Oryctolagus cuniculus: one gene and its partners. The protein of the gene in region 1 purifies or fractionates together with the protein of each later gene. This does not show direct contact. Links are inferred from orthologs where the notes say so. Each region holds a gene or a part of one and is shown in the gene's direction. Other genes may lie near its edges. The genes, in order: CHAF1A, ASF1A, SETDB1, CBX1 and ASF1B.

Evidence for each region.
Region 2: the proteins of CHAF1A (region 1) and ASF1A purify together in Homo sapiens (affinity purification with western blotting; 3 studies listed by BioGRID and IntAct, with this or other methods). This does not show direct contact. The link is inferred for Oryctolagus cuniculus from reciprocal best matches to the Homo sapiens genes CHAF1A and ASF1A.
Region 3: the proteins of CHAF1A (region 1) and SETDB1 purify together in Homo sapiens (affinity purification with western blotting; 3 studies listed by BioGRID and IntAct, with this or other methods). This does not show direct contact. The link is inferred for Oryctolagus cuniculus from reciprocal best matches to the Homo sapiens genes CHAF1A and SETDB1.
Region 4: the proteins of CHAF1A (region 1) and CBX1 purify together in Homo sapiens (affinity purification with mass spectrometry; 4 studies listed by BioGRID and IntAct, with this or other methods). This does not show direct contact. The link is inferred for Oryctolagus cuniculus from reciprocal best matches to the Homo sapiens genes CHAF1A and CBX1.
Region 5: the proteins of CHAF1A (region 1) and ASF1B purify together in Homo sapiens (co-immunoprecipitation; 7 studies listed by BioGRID and IntAct, counting the BioPlex papers as one, with this or other methods). This does not show direct contact. The link is inferred for Oryctolagus cuniculus from reciprocal best matches to the Homo sapiens genes CHAF1A and ASF1B.

Annotation. Positions count from the first base shown.
Region 1 is NC_091447.1:59,780,500-59,784,501, forward strand, and holds the start of CHAF1A (chromatin assembly factor 1 subunit A), read left to right. Parts: upstream 1-1,191; 5' UTR 1,192-1,348; coding exon 1,349-1,400; intron 1,401-1,446; exon of another isoform or gene 1,447-1,746; intron 1,747-2,855; coding exon 2,856-2,906; intron 2,907-4,002. UniProt on the Homo sapiens protein: Acts as a component of the histone chaperone complex chromatin assembly factor 1 (CAF-1), which assembles histone octamers onto DNA during replication and repair.
Region 2 is NC_091436.1:51,459,750-51,462,234, reverse strand, and holds the end of ASF1A (histone chaperone ASF1A), read left to right. Parts: intron 1-524; coding exon 525-701; intron 702-1,770; coding exon 1,771-1,983; downstream 1,984-2,485. UniProt on the Homo sapiens protein: Histone chaperone that facilitates histone deposition and histone exchange and removal during nucleosome assembly and disassembly.
Region 3 is NC_091438.1:47,127,627-47,131,139, reverse strand, and holds part of SETDB1 (histone-lysine N-methyltransferase SETDB1), read left to right. Parts: intron 1-1,406; coding exon 1,407-1,576; intron 1,577-2,450; coding exon 2,451-3,067; intron 3,068-3,513. UniProt on the Homo sapiens protein: Histone methyltransferase that specifically trimethylates 'Lys-9' of histone H3. H3 'Lys-9' trimethylation represents a specific tag for epigenetic transcriptional repression by recruiting HP1 (CBX1, CBX3 and/or CBX5) proteins to methylated histones.
Region 4 is NC_091448.1:24,381,015-24,385,263, reverse strand, and holds the start of CBX1 (chromobox protein homolog 1), read left to right. Parts: upstream 1-1,437; 5' UTR 1,438-1,649; intron 1,650-1,692; exon of another isoform or gene 1,693-1,939; intron 1,940-3,080; 5' UTR 3,081-3,251; intron 3,252-4,249. UniProt on the Homo sapiens protein: Component of heterochromatin. Recognizes and binds histone H3 tails methylated at 'Lys-9', leading to epigenetic repression. Interaction with lamin B receptor (LBR) can contribute to the association of the heterochromatin with the inner nuclear membrane.
Region 5 is NC_091447.1:62,994,149-62,998,301, reverse strand, and holds the start of ASF1B (histone chaperone ASF1B), read left to right. Parts: upstream 1-1,342; 5' UTR 1,343-1,455; coding exon 1,456-1,564; intron 1,565-4,153. UniProt on the Homo sapiens protein: Histone chaperone that facilitates histone deposition and histone exchange and removal during nucleosome assembly and disassembly. Cooperates with chromatin assembly factor 1 (CAF-1) to promote replication-dependent chromatin assembly.

The DNA of each region.
Region 1 (4,002 bases):
CCACAGCCAGGCCGACCCCCGACCAGTGCGCTGGGAGGGCCCGCGTCCGAGAGCCCCGCAACCCACGTGGGCGTTCCGGACTCCGAGCTCGGGCCGGCCCAGCCTCGGGCCACTGTGGGCCTCTGGGGAGGGTGGAAGGTCTCCCGCCCCCCACCCCCGGCCTTTCAAATCCCTCATTTAAAAAAGTAAACCCTAGCATCGCGCTGGGGCCCAGCGGGTAAAGCCGCCACCTGCAGGGCCACATCGCATATGCACGCCGGTTCGAGTCCCGGCTGCTCCACTTCCGGTCCAGCTCTCTACTGTGGCCTGGGAGAGCAGTGGACGATGGCCCGAGTGCTGGGAGCCCTGCACCTGCGTGGGAGACCCGGATGGAGCTCCTGGCTCCTGGCTTTGGATCGGGCCGGCTCTGGCCATGGTGGCCATCTGGGGAGTGACCCAGCGGAAGGAAGACCTCTCTCTCTCAATCTCTCTCTCCCTTTCAATACATAAATAAATCTCTTTAAAAGGAAGAAAGCAAGTCGGTGCCTCTGTCCAGACTCCGCCGCGGGTGTGTCCGGCTCTGCACCTGCCCGGCCCGCCCAGCGTCGATATTTCTGGTTCGCAGATGTACTTTATCCAGCGTTTAGGCATCCGCCATCGGACGGGGCCCGGGGGCTCGAGGGTCTGCAAATGCACGTTCTCACGCAGCGGCCGCAGCGGGCACGGCCCCGCGGGAGCCGAGCGGACAGGGCCGGGCGTGGACACGGGGCCGGGGCGCTGGGGCCGGCGCAGCGCAGGGACCCCGGGACCCCTGATAACTCATACGGCCCACGGCTGTTGCTAGGCTCAGCCCAGCCCCGAGTGAGGAAAACGCCACACTTCAGAATTCTCGCCAAACTCCGGTTTGCAAGTTGTCACCGGCGCCCTACGTCACACGTTCCCGTGACGTTAGAGGCTGGCCCGCCCTCCCGCAGACCTATCCCACGCGCTCCGCCAATCGCAACGCCGGGCTCGCCGCTTGACGTCTCTCGCCCCCAATCGCAGCGCGTCCCGTCGCAGCCAATCGCAGGCCGCCGCTGGACAGCCCCTCCCCCCGGCCCCGCGATCAATGGGGGAACCTGTGGGAGGACTGGAAGCCGCGGCTCTCGCGAGGATGCTCGCGGCGGTCCTCGCTTCCCGAGGCGGGCAGTCACGTGACGCCGTCTCGGCCAATCGGCGTGAGGGCTGCGGGGGTCGCCGCGGTTCCCGCCAAATACGAGCGCAGCGGCCGCGGCAGCAGCGGCGCGGGCGGGAGGGCGAGAAGCAGCGGCCGCCGGAGCGGAGCCCGCGCCTCCGCCGCCTGAGGGGAGCCCGAGCCGCCGCGGCGGCGATGCTGGAGGAGCCGGAGTGCGGGGCGCCGGGCGCCAGGGCCGCGGCCGGAGGTCGGTGCGGGCCCGCGCGGCGGCGGCGGCGGCGGGGGGGCGCGGCGCGCGCGGCCCGCGCTGGCCGGGACGGCGGTTGGCGACGGGCCTCCCGACGGCCGGCCTGCCTCGGCGGCCCTGGAGCCTCGGGATCGCGGGCAACGGCCTTGCGGCGCCGACGTTCTTGTCGCGGCCGCGACCGCGTTCATTCCCCCCCCCCCGGGGGGCGCTTTGGGGTCGGTCTGTCCGTGCGGGGCCCTCGGGGGCGGCCAGGACGGGCGTCCGAGGCCCACGGAGGCCCCCAGAGCCGGCTTTGCAGGTTCCCGCGGGCCTTGGCGCCCGCTGGGCAGCTCGGCGCCTGCAGCGGGTGGGGAAACTGAGGCAGGAGGCCGCCCGGGCCAGTGCGGGGCGCCGGGGGGGGGGCAAGCCCAGGTCCGAGGCCTGGATGGTGGCGATCGTTAGGGGGCTGGGCCCCCGGGTTTCTGCCCCTGCCGGTGACAATAGGAGTCTTTCTGGCCTGCCTGGGGTCCCCCAAAAACCGTCAGGGGGTGGTCGAGAGCCGTGTGTCTCCCCACCGGACGCCTGCGCTCGGGGCTCAGCAGGTGCCCAGGACCTGCTCGGGTGGCCGCAGCAGCCTTGTCTGACCCGAGGTGTCTGAGCCCGTGGGGAGGTGGAGCAGCATCCCTGCCCCCCACCCCACCCCTGCGACGTGTCCCCCGCGGCTGTGCGGCGGGGCGACCTCCCAGCCCCCTCCCTGCTTGGGGGCCCTTGCATTGAGGCTAGCAGGCCTCGGATGTTCCAGGCCCGCGGCTGAAGGAGGGAGGACGGGCTGGCTGGGCGCGGTGGCCAAGCCCGGGTGCTGTGCACGGCTGGAAAAGGAAGGGGTTCGCAGGCCGCCCTGTCCGGTCCCCAAGTGCCCACGGTGGCCGGAGCCTGGGGCCAGGAGTGCAGCCCGGGTTCCCCGTGTGGGCGGCGGGGAGCGGGGGGCTCAGCCTGGCACTGGCCGGCGACTGTGCCCTGCCCCTGTCACTCCCCAAGCCCGGGCAGTGGCCACAGGCGGCTTTTGGGGGGCCCTGGCCTGACCCGCTCCGGGCAGCTCTCCCAGAATTCTGCGGGCGATCCCTGCGTGCCGGCTCCCTTGGCAGGCGGCGGAGCTGCTCTCCGGCTGGTACCCCGGGCTGCGTGGCATCCGATCCCGAGGTCGCGGCTGGACAGACCAGCGGCCAGCCGGGCACGGCGGGGGCGGCAGGGGCGGCGGGGTCGTGTTCCTGGTGCTGTGCTCACGCACGGCCAGTGGCTGCAGCCACAGCGAGGAGGAGGGCCCCGCTGTCCCCCAGCCGCCCCGCACGGGGAGCTCCCTGTCCCGGCTCGGGCCTGGCCAGCTCGGGCTGTGGTGGGCTGTCTCTGGGTGTGGCCGGTGTCCCCTGGCTGTAGCTAACGGCTCTTCCTCTGACACATTTTTCTTCTTCTTCGCAGCCATGGATTGCAAAGGCAGAGCCGCCTTCCCGGTTAAGAAGTTAATACAAGGTAACTCTCCGGGCTGGGCTGGGGCGGGGGCGGGGCTTCGCCGGCTCCTGGGGGTCTGGGGGGGGTAAACAGTTGCGTCTTTGCAGATACAGTGGGGGTTCCCTGGCCGGCCGCGAGGGAGGCCGTCCGTGCTCCGTGCACACCGCACGCCCACCTCGTCGCCCGTGGCAGGGAGCGGCCTCTGCGCCTCTCCCCTCGCGGCTGTGCGTCCGCGCTCCGAGCCTGTGTGGGAGTTGGGAGCCTTTCGGGGTTGAGCTCCCCAGGTCGGGTGCGTGGACAGTGGGGTCTCCCGTCCTCGGGCGGTTGGGAGCGGGTGACGGGCGTAGACACGTCTCCAATGCCAGGACAACCAGGCGTCCCCTGGGTCTCAGGACCGCCCCGGCCGAGAGCCGCTGTGGTGTAGGGAGAGACGTCCCCACTCGTGTCCGGGGCAAGGCCGGAAGCGCGTCCACCTGCAGGCCAGGGGGCGCGGCTGGGTTGTGTGCACAAACGGGGGGTCCCGGGTGTGGCTTTGTTTTTGTTTTGTTGTTTTTAAGTTAGGTTTAATTACTTGAAAGGCCCAGTTACAGAGAGGAGGAGAGAGAGGTCTTCCATCCGCTGGTTCACTCCTCAAACGGGCAAAGGCTGGGGCCGGGCCAGGCTGTGCCGGGAGCTGCATCCGGGTCTCCCACGTGGGTGCAGGGCCCAGCGCTCAGCCCCTCGGCTGCTGCTCTCCGGGGTGCTTGGCGGGAGCAGCCGGGACTCGGGCCAGCGCTCCCAGGGGTGGCCGGTGCCGCAAACACAGCCGCTGGCTGTTGGGTTTAAGACTTGGCTGTTACCAGGTTTCCGACCTCCTGTGACAGTGACAGGTGTTGGTGGCAGTGGGGTTGAGAGTGACAGCGGGAGGACTACGAGCGAGCTGCGGACGCCGGCCTCCTTGTTTTAAAAGCCAGTCTAGGCCGGCGCCGCAGCTCACTAGGCTAATCCTCCGTCTGCGGCGCCGGCACACCGGGTTCTAGTCCTGGTCGGGGCGCCGGATTCTGTCCCGGTTGCCCCTCTTCCAGGCCAGCTCTCTGCTGTGGCCCGGGAGTGCAGTGGAGGATGGCCCAGGTGCTTG
Region 2 (2,485 bases), on another chromosome or scaffold:
GCTGTGTAGCTATTTGTGTTCAGTTTTATACTAAATTACTATTAGAATATTTGTGAGAGGTGGTTGTATAGGTACGAGAATATAAGTGTCCTGGGGAGAAAAGGAAAACTGGTATAAAAAACATTTGTTGCCAACTGGTTGTGTGGAAATAATTTAGTATTTACTAATTTAGGTCTGAAAATTATAACTGGAAAAAGTTAAAACCAATAGCACTATTGATTAAATTGTTTAAGTATTTTATAAAAAGTTATAATGAATTTGCATAATTCCTCATGAACCAACACACACAGTAACCAGAATTATTTCCCTCTGGAAGTTTAATGAAGCTACTTGAGGATACTGTGGAGAAACATGAGCTATATATCTACCTTTAGGCCAATCCCAAATGTAAGCATTTGTCTTCCCAATGTGATTTCCAAGTTTTTCTTGTTCCATGTTCAACTGAAAGTGCTCAGGGTAACTACAACTCCAATCTCGCCTGCCATTAACAGCCTTTTGTGTATGTTTCTTTTAAATTATTCCAGGCAGATGCACCTAATCCAGGACTCATTCCAGATGCTGATGCAGTAGGCGTAACAGTTGTGCTAATTACTTGTACCTATCGAGGTCAAGAATTTATTAGAGTTGGCTACTATGTAAATAATGAATATACTGAGACAGAATTAAGGGAAAATCCGCCAGTAAAACCAGACTTTTCTAAGGTAATGTCTTACTATTCCTTTTTAATTACTGTTACTATACAATTTTTTAGGCAGTTTGAGACAAAGTAAATTTGATGTCTTTGGGCCAGCTGGGCAAACTAATCATTGTTCCCTTACCATGGGTGACCTCAAACCCTTTCTCTATGCAAGTCATTAAGTATCTCTGATAAGAAATGGGCACTTGTTTACTGCTTCTTATATGGCATTTCCCATAGATCATGTTCACTTCAGCTTTTATGACATGGAAGTCTGTGTTTGTGTCTGCTTTTCATATAAACAGTTATCTATGCTTATATCAAAGTACCTATATGCTTTAGTTTTATTCTGTAGGAACAGCAGATAAAGTAAAGGTCTTAAATATTTCAGGTGATAGCAAATAGCTTAAACACTGAGAAGCTGAAATCTGTGATTCATTATTCTCAAGGATACTTAGTACCTTTATGGTTTTTCATTGGGAACTGTAACAGTTTACTAACTGGTGATTTTGAGAGGGTGCAAATCAAGTGAAGTTGAATAGGGCCCTCTGTCTGCCAGGCAATACAAGGAAAGTCACATGGCAGTAGAATAAAGTTCAACTTTCTGGTAATAAGGCTAGAATGTTTTTCATCCTGGCCAATCCTTTCATAGATCAAATTTATTGGTTATCTGTTTGGTAACTTGTACAACAGAAAAGAGAAGAAACTAGACTATTGTTTCCAAAAATGAACCATAATATTTAAAAGGTAGGAAATCACTAATAGCAAGAAGATGTATTTGGGAGAAATTTTCTTTCCCTTCTTAGGAAATAGAAGTACAAGAGTAGAAGAATAGATATTTCATAGTATAGTAAAAGATCTGAATGAATTCCCTCAGATTCTCCATATCTTGTTCCTATTAAGCCAAAATAATTGCTATGGTCCTAGTCCTTGTTTATTAGTTATGCTAAAGTGCTTTATTTGTCCTATACTTCTGTATATGAACGTAACCCTTCAGGAGTGCTAACATAAAGGACCCATTTCTTTAAGTATCTATTTGCATAGGGTGATTAAACTTTGGTAATGTTTACCATTTATATATTTCCTTCTTCTAGCTTCAAAGGAACATTTTGGCATCTAATCCCAGGGTCACAAGATTCCACATTAATTGGGAAGACAACACAGAAAAACTGGAAGATGCAGAGAGCAGTAATCCAAATCTACAGTCACTTCTGTCAACAGATGCATTACCTTCTGCCTCAAAGGGATGGTCCACGTCAGAAAACTCACTAAATGTCATGTTAGAATCCCACATGGACTGCATGTGACCACCTGCCATCCCTTTAGTACAAATTAAGCTATTAAAAATACACAGAACTATTTCCCTGAAATTCCGTAAGTACATAGTCAAGACAAAATGTGAAGAATTTGTTTAAAAACATCCTGTAGAAAGTTTATAAGAAAACCAGTATTTGAGCAAATTGTGGAATATAAATACAACTATTTTTAAGTAATTTTTTCTCTAATGTGTTATTTTATTTGTTCTGAAACTAATTTGATTAAAGCATATATATTATTTTTCTTCTCCTTTATATGTAATTAAAGCACTTATAAAGAAAAATATAAATCCTTAGACCAGGTTGTGAAGATGTCTTAGCCTCTCGGACAGTAATCTTTGGAACATTATTTTTTCTGGCCTTTGAAAAAAGAAAGTTCACTTCAACTAAGATGTTTCTTCCTGTTAAAACATAAAGTGTGGTTTTAATTTAAGGGGAAACTTTCCATTCCTTTTTGGCATGACTTTAAAAGGGGGATTGAAATGAATTATAT
Region 3 (3,513 bases), on another chromosome or scaffold:
GCACCCACATGGGAGACCAGGAGAAACACCTGGCTCCTGCCTTCAGATCAGCACGGTGCGCCAGCCGCAGTGGCCATTGGAGGGTGACCCAACGGTAAAGGAAGACCTTTCTCTCTGTCACTCTCTCACTGTCCACTCTGCCTGTCAAAAAAAAAAAAAAAAAAAAAAAGTAATTAGACCTGAGTTCAGGTTCTGGTCTTCCACTTTGGAGCTAATCCTGTTATCAGCTATAAATAGGAGATATTAATACTGACACCCACACTCTATCCCCAAAGGGTTTTAAATGACCTAACAGACTCTTTCTTTATCTGGTGCTGGTTAACACAGTATGTTTAGTCTGAAAATCCATTGACTATGAACTTTTCTGTATATTTTTCTTATGTATATTATACTTTGAAAATCTTCTTTAAAAACTTTTAAAAAATACCATTATAGCACTGCTTTGAAGATAGATAGAATAAGAGAGTGTAAATTATGCAATTTACATAGCAACAAAACAAAGTGTATGTTCAGTAAGTAGAACTGCTCTTACTGTCTTTATCCAGAAGGATGTGACTAATGTCATTAGCCAAGAAATTGTTTTATTATCCTCTTCCCAAAAGTAAATGTCTCCCTGCAATTTATACCAAGAAGTATAATCCTAACAGTGAGCAAAGCAAATCAAGCAGAAGCATTGGTACCCGTAACATTTCCAGTCTTATCAGCATAGCTGTTTTCTTCCTTTAATGTTCATATTTGCTAGATCCCTCTGATTAACTTTAATAGTTTGTTTTAAAAGTAATTAAGTTGTTAAATTCTTCAACTGATTAATTCCTTTAAGGTAGAGATTATGACCTCTTTGATTATTCCCAGTGTCTAGCACAACTATTATTATTTAATAAGTGTTTACTGAATGATATGATGAAAACCAACTTTACCAAAGAAAAGTCCCCATAAACATCCATACCACCTTCTCTTTTCTCTTTAGACATTATATGTGTGTGTGTATAATATATATATATTGATATATATATATATATATAAAATCAGTATATCAGCCTCTGCTTTTCTTACGTATCTTTATGCATCTTTTTTCTGAAAATTGACGGACTCTATATACTTATTTTAGTGGCTCTGTAATCTGTATTCACGTCATGGTTTTCTTAGCCTCTTTCCAGGTGTTAGGAATTCTGGCATTCACTATTAGAACACTGCTATAAACATCGTTAATTCCCTTCTAAGTTATTTCTGTGAGCTATATTCCCAAATAAATGAAACAGCATAGACAGTTCAGTAAATCCACTCAGATCATTACCTAATTTTTAATCTTTACCCAGGACACATTGTAAGTAATGATAGCTTAAGAATTATAACTGTTTTGTGCGTTTCTATTGCTCATCTCATGGTTGATCTTTCTAATCTCCCAGGGTATATGAGTGTAACAAACGCTGCAAATGTGACCCAAACATGTGCACAAACCGGTTGGTGCAGCATGGACTACAGGTTCGCCTACAGCTATTCAAGACACAGAACAAGGGCTGGGGTATCCGCTGCTTGGATGACATTGCCAAAGGCTCTTTTGTTTGTATTTATGCAGGTTGGTGATGGATATAAAGGTTGTTTCCTGGGTCTGGGATGTGGTGGGGAAATGAACCAGATGCAAGTTGAGCTTACGAATAATGTGCTGGACATGTGAACTGAGAGAGAGAGGAGCCAGGGCTCGCTTCTGTAGAGAACCTGTGGAGGTTCACAGAGAGGGACACAGGGCTTTGGAAAGACAGAAATAAAAAAGGGGTAATGTTTTAGACGTGATGATGTTCCAGGGGAGAGACATGATTGCAGAGTCCAATGTATTGTCCTCCCACGTTTCTCCACCCAAAGATTTTTTTTTTTAGCATGGCTGAGAACTGTTGTTAAAGAGGAGGAAATGGGCCGGCGCCGCGGCTCACTAGGCTAATCCTCCGCCTAGCAGCGCTGGCACACCGGGTTCTAGTCCCGGTCGGGGCGCCGGATTCTGTCCCGGTTGCCCCTCTTCCAGGCCAGCTTTCTGCTGTGGCCAGGGAGTGCAGTGGAGGATGGCCCAGGTGCTTGGGCCCTGCACCCCATGGGAGACCAGGAGAAGCTCCTGGCTCCTGCCATCGGATCAGCGCGGTGCGCCGGCCGCAGCATGCCAGCCGCGGCGGCCATTGGAGGGTGAACCAACGGCAAAGGAAGACCTTTCTCTCTGTCTCTCTCTCACTGTCCACTCTGCCTGTCAAAAAATAAAAATAAAAAAAAGAAGAGGAGGAAATGGGAGGACAGAGAGGACAAGATTAAAGCTACAGTAAAGGAGGTATCATCGAAGAGAGACACAAGAGACCAAAATGTAGGCATTTTACCTCTGTGCTGGAGCACTGGGTGTGGGTGGATGGACACTTAATCTTTCCAAAAGGGCCCCATAACCCTAGAAAGCCTTTAATTCTCTTCCTCAGGCAAGATCCTGACAGATGACTTTGCAGACAAGGAAGGCTTGGAAATGGGTGATGAATACTTTGCAAATCTGGACCATATCGAGAGCGTGGAGAACTTCAAGGAAGGATATGAGAGTGATGCCCCCTGTTCCTCTGACAGCAGTGGTGTAGACTTAAAGGACCAGGAAGATGGTAACAGTGGTACAGAGGATGCTGAGGAGTCCAATGATGATAGCTCAGATGACAACTTCTGTAAGGATGAGGACTTCAGCACCAGCTCAGTGTGGCGCAGCTATGCTACCCGGAGGCAGACCCGAGGCCAGAAGGAAAATGGACTGTCTGAGATGGCTGCCAAAGACTCCCGTCCCCCAGACCTTGGGCCACCACATATGCCTGTCCCTCCCTCAGTCCCTGTAGGTGTCTGCAACCCACCTTCCTCCGAGGAGACACCCAAGAACAAGGTGGCCTCGTGGCTGAGCTGCAATAGTATCAGTGACGGTGCTTTTGACTCTGATAGCCGCTCCTCCTTCAAGACTGGTGAAGGTAGCGCTGGGGGAGGCCGAGGGGAAGCTGAGAAAGCCACCGCCTCGGCACTGGGCATCAAGGACGAGGGGGACGTCAAGCAGACCAAGAAGGAGGTAAGCAGTAGCTGTTAGTGTTGATGTTAGTAACCTAACTTACTTGACGGGTATTTCTTTGGAAACCTATTTCCCCCTTTACTCAGCACATTTCTAGAATGTGTTTAAAGAGGCCGGCGGTGCCAGCACTCCGGGTTCTGGTCCCGGTTGCTCCTTCCAGTCCAGCTCTCTGCTGTGGCCCGGGAGTGCAGTGGAGGATGAACCAGGTGCTTGGGCCCTGCACCCGTGTGGGAGACCAGGAGGAAGCACCTGACTCCTGGCTTCCGGTCGGTGCAGCACACCAGCCGTGGCAGCCATTTGGGGGGTGAACCAAAGGAAAAGGAAGACCTTTCTCTGTCTCTCTCTCTCTCACTGTCTAACTCTGCCTGTCCAAAAAAAAAAAAAAAAAAAAAAAAAAAAGTTTAAAGAACCAAATTCTTTTAGGATTTACTTGGTTGGGGATCAGA
Region 4 (4,249 bases), on another chromosome or scaffold:
ATTTGTTATGCAGTTGCAGAGAGAGAGGGAAATCTTCCATCTGCTGGTTCACTCCCCAGATGACCCCAACCCAGGGCTGGGTCAGCCTGAGCAGCCAGGAGCCGGGAGTTTCTTCCGGGGCCATCTTCTGCGACTTTCCCAGGCAGGCACATTAGCGGGAAGCTGGGTTGTAAGTGGGGCAGCCTGGACTCCAACCAGAGCCCACATGGGATAAAGGCTTCCATCGAAGGCTGCAGCTTAATTTACTAAACCACGACTTCGCCCTCAGATGGGGATCTCTGTTGTCTCCCTCTCTCCTTTACTCTGCCTTTTTTTTTTTTTTTTTTTTTTGACAGGCAGGGTTAGAGAGACAGAGAGAAAAGTCTTCCTTTCGGTTGGTTCACTGCCCAAATGGCCACTACGGGAAACCAGGAGCCAGGTGCTTCCTCCTGGTCTCCCATGGGGTGCAGGGTCCAAGCACCTGGGCCATCCTCCACTGCCTTCCCTGGCCACAGCAGAGAGCTGGACTGGAAGAGGAGCAACTGGGACAGAATCCGGCGCCCCAACCGGGACTAGAACCAGGAGTGCCGGCGCCGCAGGCAGAGGATTTGCCAAGTTAGCCGCGGTGCCGGCTTACTCTGCCTTTCAAATAAATTATATTTTAATAAAAAGGTCAGTATTAAAACTGTATGTTGGGGCCGGCGCCGTGGCTCACTAGGCTAATCCTCCTCCTTGCGGTGCCGGCACACCGGGTTCTAGTCCCGGTTGGGGCGCCGGATTCTGTCCCGGTTGCCCCTCTTCCAGGCCGGCTCTCTGCTGTGGCCAGGGAGTGCAGTGGAGGATGGCCCAAGTGCTTGGGCCCTGCACCCCATGGGAGACCAGGAGAAGTACCTGGCTACTGCCATCAGTTCAGCGTGGTGCGCCGGCCGCGGCGGCCACTGGAGGGTGAACCAACGGCAAAGGAAGACCTTTCTCTCTCTCTCTCTCTCATTGTCCACTCTGCCTGTCAAAAAAATTTAAAAAATAGAAAAAAAAAAAAAAAACCCTGTATGTTGGCTCAACCAATTAAGGGGAGGAATTCAGGAAGTCACGACGAATGGGAAGTAATCATTGAGCTGCACAGATTTGAGGAGGCAGAGATCGGAGATTACACAGGTTGAAAAATTTGAGAGAGATCTGAAAAAACTGGCAATGGATTTAAGATTCAGAAATTTCGAGGCTGTGACTCGTAGAACTGTGCATAAGTGGCTGATTTTTGAGACCTAGCACTAAGGATTTGCTGCCTGCAGCGTTCTAAAATGGGGTCTCTCTGCCTTTGCAGTTTAAAAACTAAAATTCCCGCACAGCCACGCAAGCCGGGCGCGCGGAGCGGGACTCGCACAGCCCTTCGGGACTTGTAGTCTTGGACGGGCACCGAGTCCCATGGTGCCTTACGGCGGGTCGTCGCGCCTGCGCGGTGCAGACGGCGGGCAGCGCAGAGTGCGAGGCTCTTTTGTTCGGCTGAGGGGAGGGCCGTTGGCCGGGGCCTGCGGTACGCCGCTTCAGCGAGGGGCTTGACTGCAGCCACCCGGCTTGTTGCTTTCTGGGCGCCACTCCCCCCCGGCCGGCCCGACGCGACGCGCCAGTAGCGCGACTCCGATTCTTCTCGAGCTCTTGGGCGCTGCTTTGAGGTAAAAAGCCCGCTAGAGGCGGGGGGAGGGGGCGCGGCGGCGGCGGCGGCGGCGGCGGCGGCGGCGGGAGCCCGGGTCAGGGGCCGCGTTGTCGTGGCGGTTGGGAGCGGGGAGCGCGCTCCGGTCCGGCGCCCTGTTCGTGTGTTCCCGCGCGGAACGCTGTGTTTGGCGCGGAGAGGCCGAACGCCCGCTGCGTGAAAGATGGAGAGGGCGGGGCAGTGAATCCCGAGCGAGAGACTGGAGAGGTTCGCGGTGGGCCGAGCGCTTGAGGGGCGCTTTTCCGGGCCTGGGTGGGTTGAGACAATGCGTCTGCGGGTTTGGACTGGAGAAGGGAAAACTTTGGGCGACTGAGGAGAGGTCGTGGTTGGTGTTTGGATTAAGCGTCGGGCGGGGAGGAGGGGACGCCTGCGGGACCTCGGGGTTTGCAAATGTAACCTGAGGATATTGGGCTGGGCGACGGCTGCCGGAGGAATTTGGCTTGCGGAGCTACGGCGAAGTAACTTGGCGTACATGGGACCAGGGGACCGGGCAGCCCAGGGTGTGCTAATGGAGGAAGATTCGTGGAATCCATTGGGAGAGAGATCCCAGAATTGGGAAAGACGGGTGCTTGCCGGGAAGCGGGGCGGGGGGAGCTGTTGGGGTAAGCAGGGCGACGTCCTGCGAATATTTCTGGAAAGTGTGGAAGAGAAAAGGGGCAAACTGGCCGCCCTTGTCTCCTGCTGGGGCGTTGCAGTGCGGGCCCGTGAGAGTAACGGGTGCGGAAAGCATGCAGCACTTGGCCTGCTTCGCCGTCCCAGCGTCTCTGCTACTTCCCCGAGTTTGTGTTTGGGATTGGTGCTGGTCTCACAGAGCGGGAGAATGGCAGGAATGCGTGGAGATGTTAACAGTAAGGAATGGAGTGAGGTCGGGAGAGAACTTGTGAGATGGGGTGGGAGAATCATTGTGGGAGGACATTTTTTCCCCCTTAGGGTCGGGTCGTGTGTTTTTAGCCAGCCTTTCTTTGTTGGAAATTCTGAATACAAAGTGAGCAGTACTTTACCCCTTTTCCAAAGCCACATGTGAGGGCTTCGTGGATTGTTGTTCTGTTTAGGCATGTATTGGCTTAACCCAGTTGAGGTGGAATTTTTGTTTTTTTAAGATTTATTTATTTTGAAAGAGATACAGAGTGAAAAGGAAGAGACAGAGAAAAAGAGATCTTCCATCCAAGTGGAATTTTTCTTATAATTTTTAAAAAAGATTTATTTATTGAAATGCAGAATTACAAGTAGGTAGAGCCAGAGAGAGGGAGACAGAGGTCTTCCATCCGTTGGTTCACTCCCTGAATGGCCGCAACGGGCCGAGCTGCGCAGGTCCAGAGCCAGGAGCTTCTTCCGGGTCTCCCACGTATGTGCAGGGGCCAAGGGCTTGGACCATCTAATGCTGCTTTCCCAGGCCATAGCAGAGAGCTGGATCGGAAGTGGAGCAGCCGGGACTCGAACCGAACCGGTGCCTGGATGGGAAGCCATCGCTGCAGGCCTCAGCTTTACCCTCTACACCACAACGCTGGGCCCCAAGATGGAGTATTTTTTAAAAGATAAGTTATACTAGAACCTGTGGCAAGAGGTAAGCTATCTCCTCTGTTGTGTCAAGAATTAATGTCAACAGTTTGAAATAGTTCTGAAAGGTCCACAGTTTTTGGAATTGATTTCAAGAACACAGAGGAAATTAGTGCCTAGTACCTGTGTTCCTCCCTAGATACCTCACAGGCGTTTACATGAAAGTATGATTGAAAAGCACCGGTGTTGGAGCTGGTACACCTTAATGGAGCTTCTGGGCAATTGGAGGATCTTCAGTCATTTCCAGTTTTCCCTGTGGCGATATTTTTCTTCTATGACTGCTGTCTTAAATCGCCTTTCATTAAAAATGTAAATATTGTGTAGCCTACTTGCTTCTTTATTAGAGGCGACCAAGTAAGGGTACCCTAGCCTTCTACTTTTTTTTTTAAATACAGAAATTAAAGGAAGCAATGTTGTTTTTTCTTTCCCCATTTTAGGGACTAGGAAAATGTTTTTTTAAAGTGCTTTAAAGCGGCAGCGCTGTGGTGTAGTAGGCTAAGCCTCTGCCTGCGGTGCCAGCGTCCCATATGGGTGCCAGTTCGTGTCCCAGCTGTTCTGCTTATGGCCTGGGAAAGTGGTGGAAGATCGCTCAAGTGCTTGGGCCCATGCATGTGGGAGACTCAGAGGAAGCTCCTGGCTTCAGATCGGCCCAGCTCCGGTGGTTGTGGCCATTTGGGGAGTGCACCAGCGTATGCAAGACCTTCTCCCCCCGTAATTCTACCTCTCAAATAAGTAAATTAAAAAAAATCTTTAAAAAATAAGTGCTTTTAAAAGAGCGCTGGTTACTTTTTGTTATCTTCTAGTAGTTTCTCCAGCCAAGTTTCTTTTTTTCACACTGTATCTGTCATGATATAACAGATTTTGTTTTAAAGGCAAGTGACTATATTTGTAGTCTGCCATAAGATGGGGCTATACCTCTTGTTCATCCTGTGTCTGGTACATAGTATGCCATTCAGATTGTTGATAGAAGAATGAATAGGGCTTTGAAATCCTTTCTGAGAACTT
Region 5 (4,153 bases), about 3.2 Mb from region 1:
TGGAAGTTGGGAGCTGGGAGCTTCCTCTGGGTCTCCCACGCGGGTGCAGGGGCCCAAGCACCTGGGCCATCTTCTCCTGCTTTCCCAGGCCACAGCAGGGAGCTGGATGGGAAGTGGGGCAGCCGGGACTCGAACCGGCGCCCATATAGGATGCCAGTGTTTCAGGTGGCGGCTTTACCCACTGCGCCACAGCGCCGGCCCCAGAGGGAGCACAAGGCCCTGCAGCAGGAGGGAGCCCGGGGGTGGGCAGGGGCAGGGCGGGGAGGGTGACAGGCGCGAGACGGGGCCTCGGGGCCCACTGCAGAGATCTCGGTTCCCCGCTAAGCAGGATACGCCTCTGGGGCTTGGCGCTGGGATCTGGGGTTCAGCGACAATCACGCAGCCAGCTCCTCTTCCTCCCAGCATCGGAGACGGAGTCCCCGGTACGGCCTTCCCCGGGGTCGGGAACGGACGGCGCAAAAAAAAAAAAAAAAAAAAAAAATTCACCAAGGTGAGAATAAATAAATGTTTAGTTAAACGCCTAGAAAACATCGTGCTAAGAACTCTGCTCGGGGTGGAATTCGGATGCACCATAACACATTTGGAAATACGATCGCCTAGGCCCTGGCCCCGCAGCCGTCCGGTCCCTGACTGGGCGGGAGCGGGACCCGAACCGCCACTCCCCAGGCCGGGACTCCGCGTCCGCTCACCGCAGACCCCCCAGGCCGCGCACGGCCTCAGCAGCCGGAGCCCCCGGCCCGAAACGCCCACCTGCACACACGCACCGGCATCCCCGCCGCGCCTCCTCCACCGCGCCGGCCCCCGACTTCCGCTCCTCTCCCGCGAATCCTCAGACACGCCTTCCTCTGCTCCCGCCCCCACAGCCACCTCAGCCAATTAGGTCTCCAAAAGCCTGCTTTATCCCCGCCCCACTCCTGCCTGCCAATCACGGCGGCCGCGAGTACCCGCCCTTCCCACGCTCTTAAGCGAGCGCCGCGCGCCACCGCTCGGCCGTTGGCGGTGCTGCTCCCTCAAGGATGCGTCTCTCGGAAAAGCTGCGAGAAGGGGCGGGCCCCGCCTGTGCGGGAACCCTCAGGATTGGCCGAGAGCCGGGCTCTGACTCCGCCCATCCCCGCCCCCGCCATCCGAGTCGGAGACGCTGGGGATTGGTTCCCCGCGGCCACCCCGCGAGAAGCCCACAGCTGGTCCCGCCTCCCTCGCGCGCGTGCGGAGAGGGAGCTCCGCGGATTGGTTTGAGGAGTCCGGGCGCGCGCCAGCGGCGCTCGCGGATTGGCTGACGGGGCGCTCGCGCCGCCGCGGAGCGTTTGCGGTGATTGGCTAGAGGGCGGAGCCGGCGATTTGAAGGCGGCGCGCGGACGCGGTGCGCGTTGCAGTCCGCGGCGAGAGGAGGCGGGAGCGGCCGCCGGTGACGCTGCCCCTCTGCCCGCTCCCCCGACCCCGGCTCCCGGCGACACGATGGCCAAGGTGTCCGTGCTGAACGTGTCGGTGCTGGAGAACCCGAGCCCTTTCCACAGCCCCTTCCGGTTCGAGATCAGCTTCGAGTGCAGTGAGGCCCTGGCGGACGGTGAGGCTGGACCCGTGCGGAGACCCCCACCCCAGCCCTGGGCCGACCCTGACCCCGACCTCCCCGTGGAGAGCCGCCCCGTGGCCAGGCCGAAGCCCCCCGGGGCCCCCTCCCTCCGTCCGCTTAGCCCCCCCCGCTCCCCCATCGCCCCCTCCCAAACCCCAGGACCCCCCTCTCTTGCAATGGCGCTCCTCCCAGGCACCGCTTCCTAATGATAGAGGCGCATCCACCGGCGGAGACCCCCACGCCCCCTGCCTCTTCCCCACCCCTGCCGCCCTCCTCGCCCCCGTGTCCGCCCCAGCCGTGCCCTGCCCAGTGTTTAAATGACCGCGTCCGGGGGTCATTGCGACCCCCGGGGTGGCGGTGGAGGGGCGTCCCGGCTCCCGAGGCTTCCCGGTCCGACCGTGGGCCTGGGTGGGCGGTGGGCGCGCCCCGGACCGGCTTCCCGCGGCTTCCCTATCCCGACGCCGTCCGGTGGGCGGTGGGCGCGCCCGGGGCCCGCGGCGGGGTGGTGGTCGTGGCGCACGGGAGGGCACAGCAGCCACCCGGAGCCCCGGGCCCTGCGCACGCCGGGGTCAGCCGGGGCCAAGGCCTGCGTGCACCCAGCGCTCAGCTCCAGGGCGGAGCCGGGGAGGCCGCTGGGTGGCAGGGGGGTGGCCCGCGGGGCGGCCGCCGCCTGTGGCTGACTGTGGAGTAAGCCGGCTGGAGGCTCTCTGGGACACGCAGGGCGGAAATAAAAGTGTAAGCTGGCGGGGGTTGAGACTCGCTTTAAAGGCCGGCAGGAGAGGCGAGGGGCCCCTCGTCTGAGTTCCCAGGTGACGCGGGTGGGGTGCCGTAGGCCTGCTTTAAAAGCAGGCGCTATCTGAGAAGTGGGTGCCTGCGACGCCCCGGGCCCTGCGGCCCAGGAGCCAAGCCCCCGCCTTGACCCCCTGCGCGTCCCGGGCGGGGGGCGGGGCGTCGCTGGGGCCGTGATGTCTGGGGACAGGAGCCTGGGCAACCCTGGTGTGGGGCGCCTCTGAGTTCCTTCTTCCTCTCCCAGCCCCCAGTCGGGGGCCCCCTGACTCCCAGGGGCCGCACGGAGTACATCAGGGGTGCGTGTGCTTGCGGGGAGCGGGGGAGCCCCTCAGGGAGCTGAAACAGCAGGCGCCCCGCGAGGCCAAGGCCACGGGCAGTACGGCTCGAAGACTGCGGCTCCGGACCGCCTGGTCACCGGATCGCAGCGCCGCTTCGGCTGGAGTCCTGGACGCGCAGCTTCCGACCCAGCTTCCTGCTGCTGCGCGCTGTTGTGCGCCCCTGCCGCCCACGCGGGAGACCCACGGGGAGTTCCAGGCGCCTGGCTGTGGCCTGGCCCACCTCCAGCTGTTGGCATTTGGGGAGTGGACCAGCGGGTAGAAGATCCTGCTCTTTCTGCCCCCCACCCCCCCATCGCCTGCCTTTGTCTCTCTCCTCTGTCACTCCCAGATAAATACAAATGGGAAACAGATTCTTCAACGACAATGATTTCTTGTTTAAATATTTGTTTCATTATTTATTTGAAAAGTAGAGTTACAGAGAGAGAGATAGGTCTTCTGTCCATTGGTTCACTCCCCAGATGGCTGCAACGGCTGGAGCTTCACAGATCCAAAGCCAGGAGCCAGGAGCTCCATCCAGGTCTCCCACTCAGGTGCCGGGGCCCAAGCACTTGGGCCATCTTCCACTGCTTTCCCAGGCCATAGCATAGAGCTGGATCGGAAGTGGAACAGCCGGGACTCGAACTTGCACCCATATGGGATGCCGGCACTGCAGACCCGGGCTTTAACCCACTGTGCCACAGCACCGGCCATCACTTTCTTAACGTGTGTTTAATCATAGCATTGGCTTTGCATTTGTTGTCATACGGAGTAGAGGTGTATCCTGTGCGGGGTTCAGCCTGTAAAATTGGGGATCAGAACAAAATGTAATTGACGTGCCTTTAATCGTGTTCAGAAGTTAGATAGACTGTGTGTATACAGTTATGTCCTGTATTTGGTAGGTATTTTTTTAAGAACTTATTTTATTTGAAAGGCAGAGCTACAGAGAGATCTTCCATCTGCTGGTTCACTCCCCAGATGACCACACGGCCAAGGTTGAGCCAGGCCAAAGCCAGGAGCTCCATCCAGGTCTCCCACGTGGGTGCAAGGGCCCAAACCCTTGGCCATCCGCTGCTGCTATCCCAGGTACATTAGCAGGGAGCCGGATCAGAAGTGGAGCAGCTGGAACTCAAACCAGTGCCCCTGTGGGATGCCAGTGGTGCAGGCAGTGCCTCAACCTGCTAGGCCACAGCACTGGCCCTTATGCGTTTTTATATTTTTTTTAATGGTTGATTTCTTCTACTTGAAAGGCACAGAGGCAGAGAGAAGGGAGTTCTTCCATCAGCATTTACTCAAAAGATAGAGTTACAGAGAGGGAGAGTGACAGAGAGAGATCTTCCATCTGCTGTTTCACTCCCCAAATGGCTGCAACGGCTGGAGCTGTGCTGATCTGAAACCAGGAGCCAGGAGCTTCTTCCTGGTCTCCCATGTGGGTGCAGGGGCCCAAGGACTTGGACCATCCTCCACTGCTTTCCCAGGC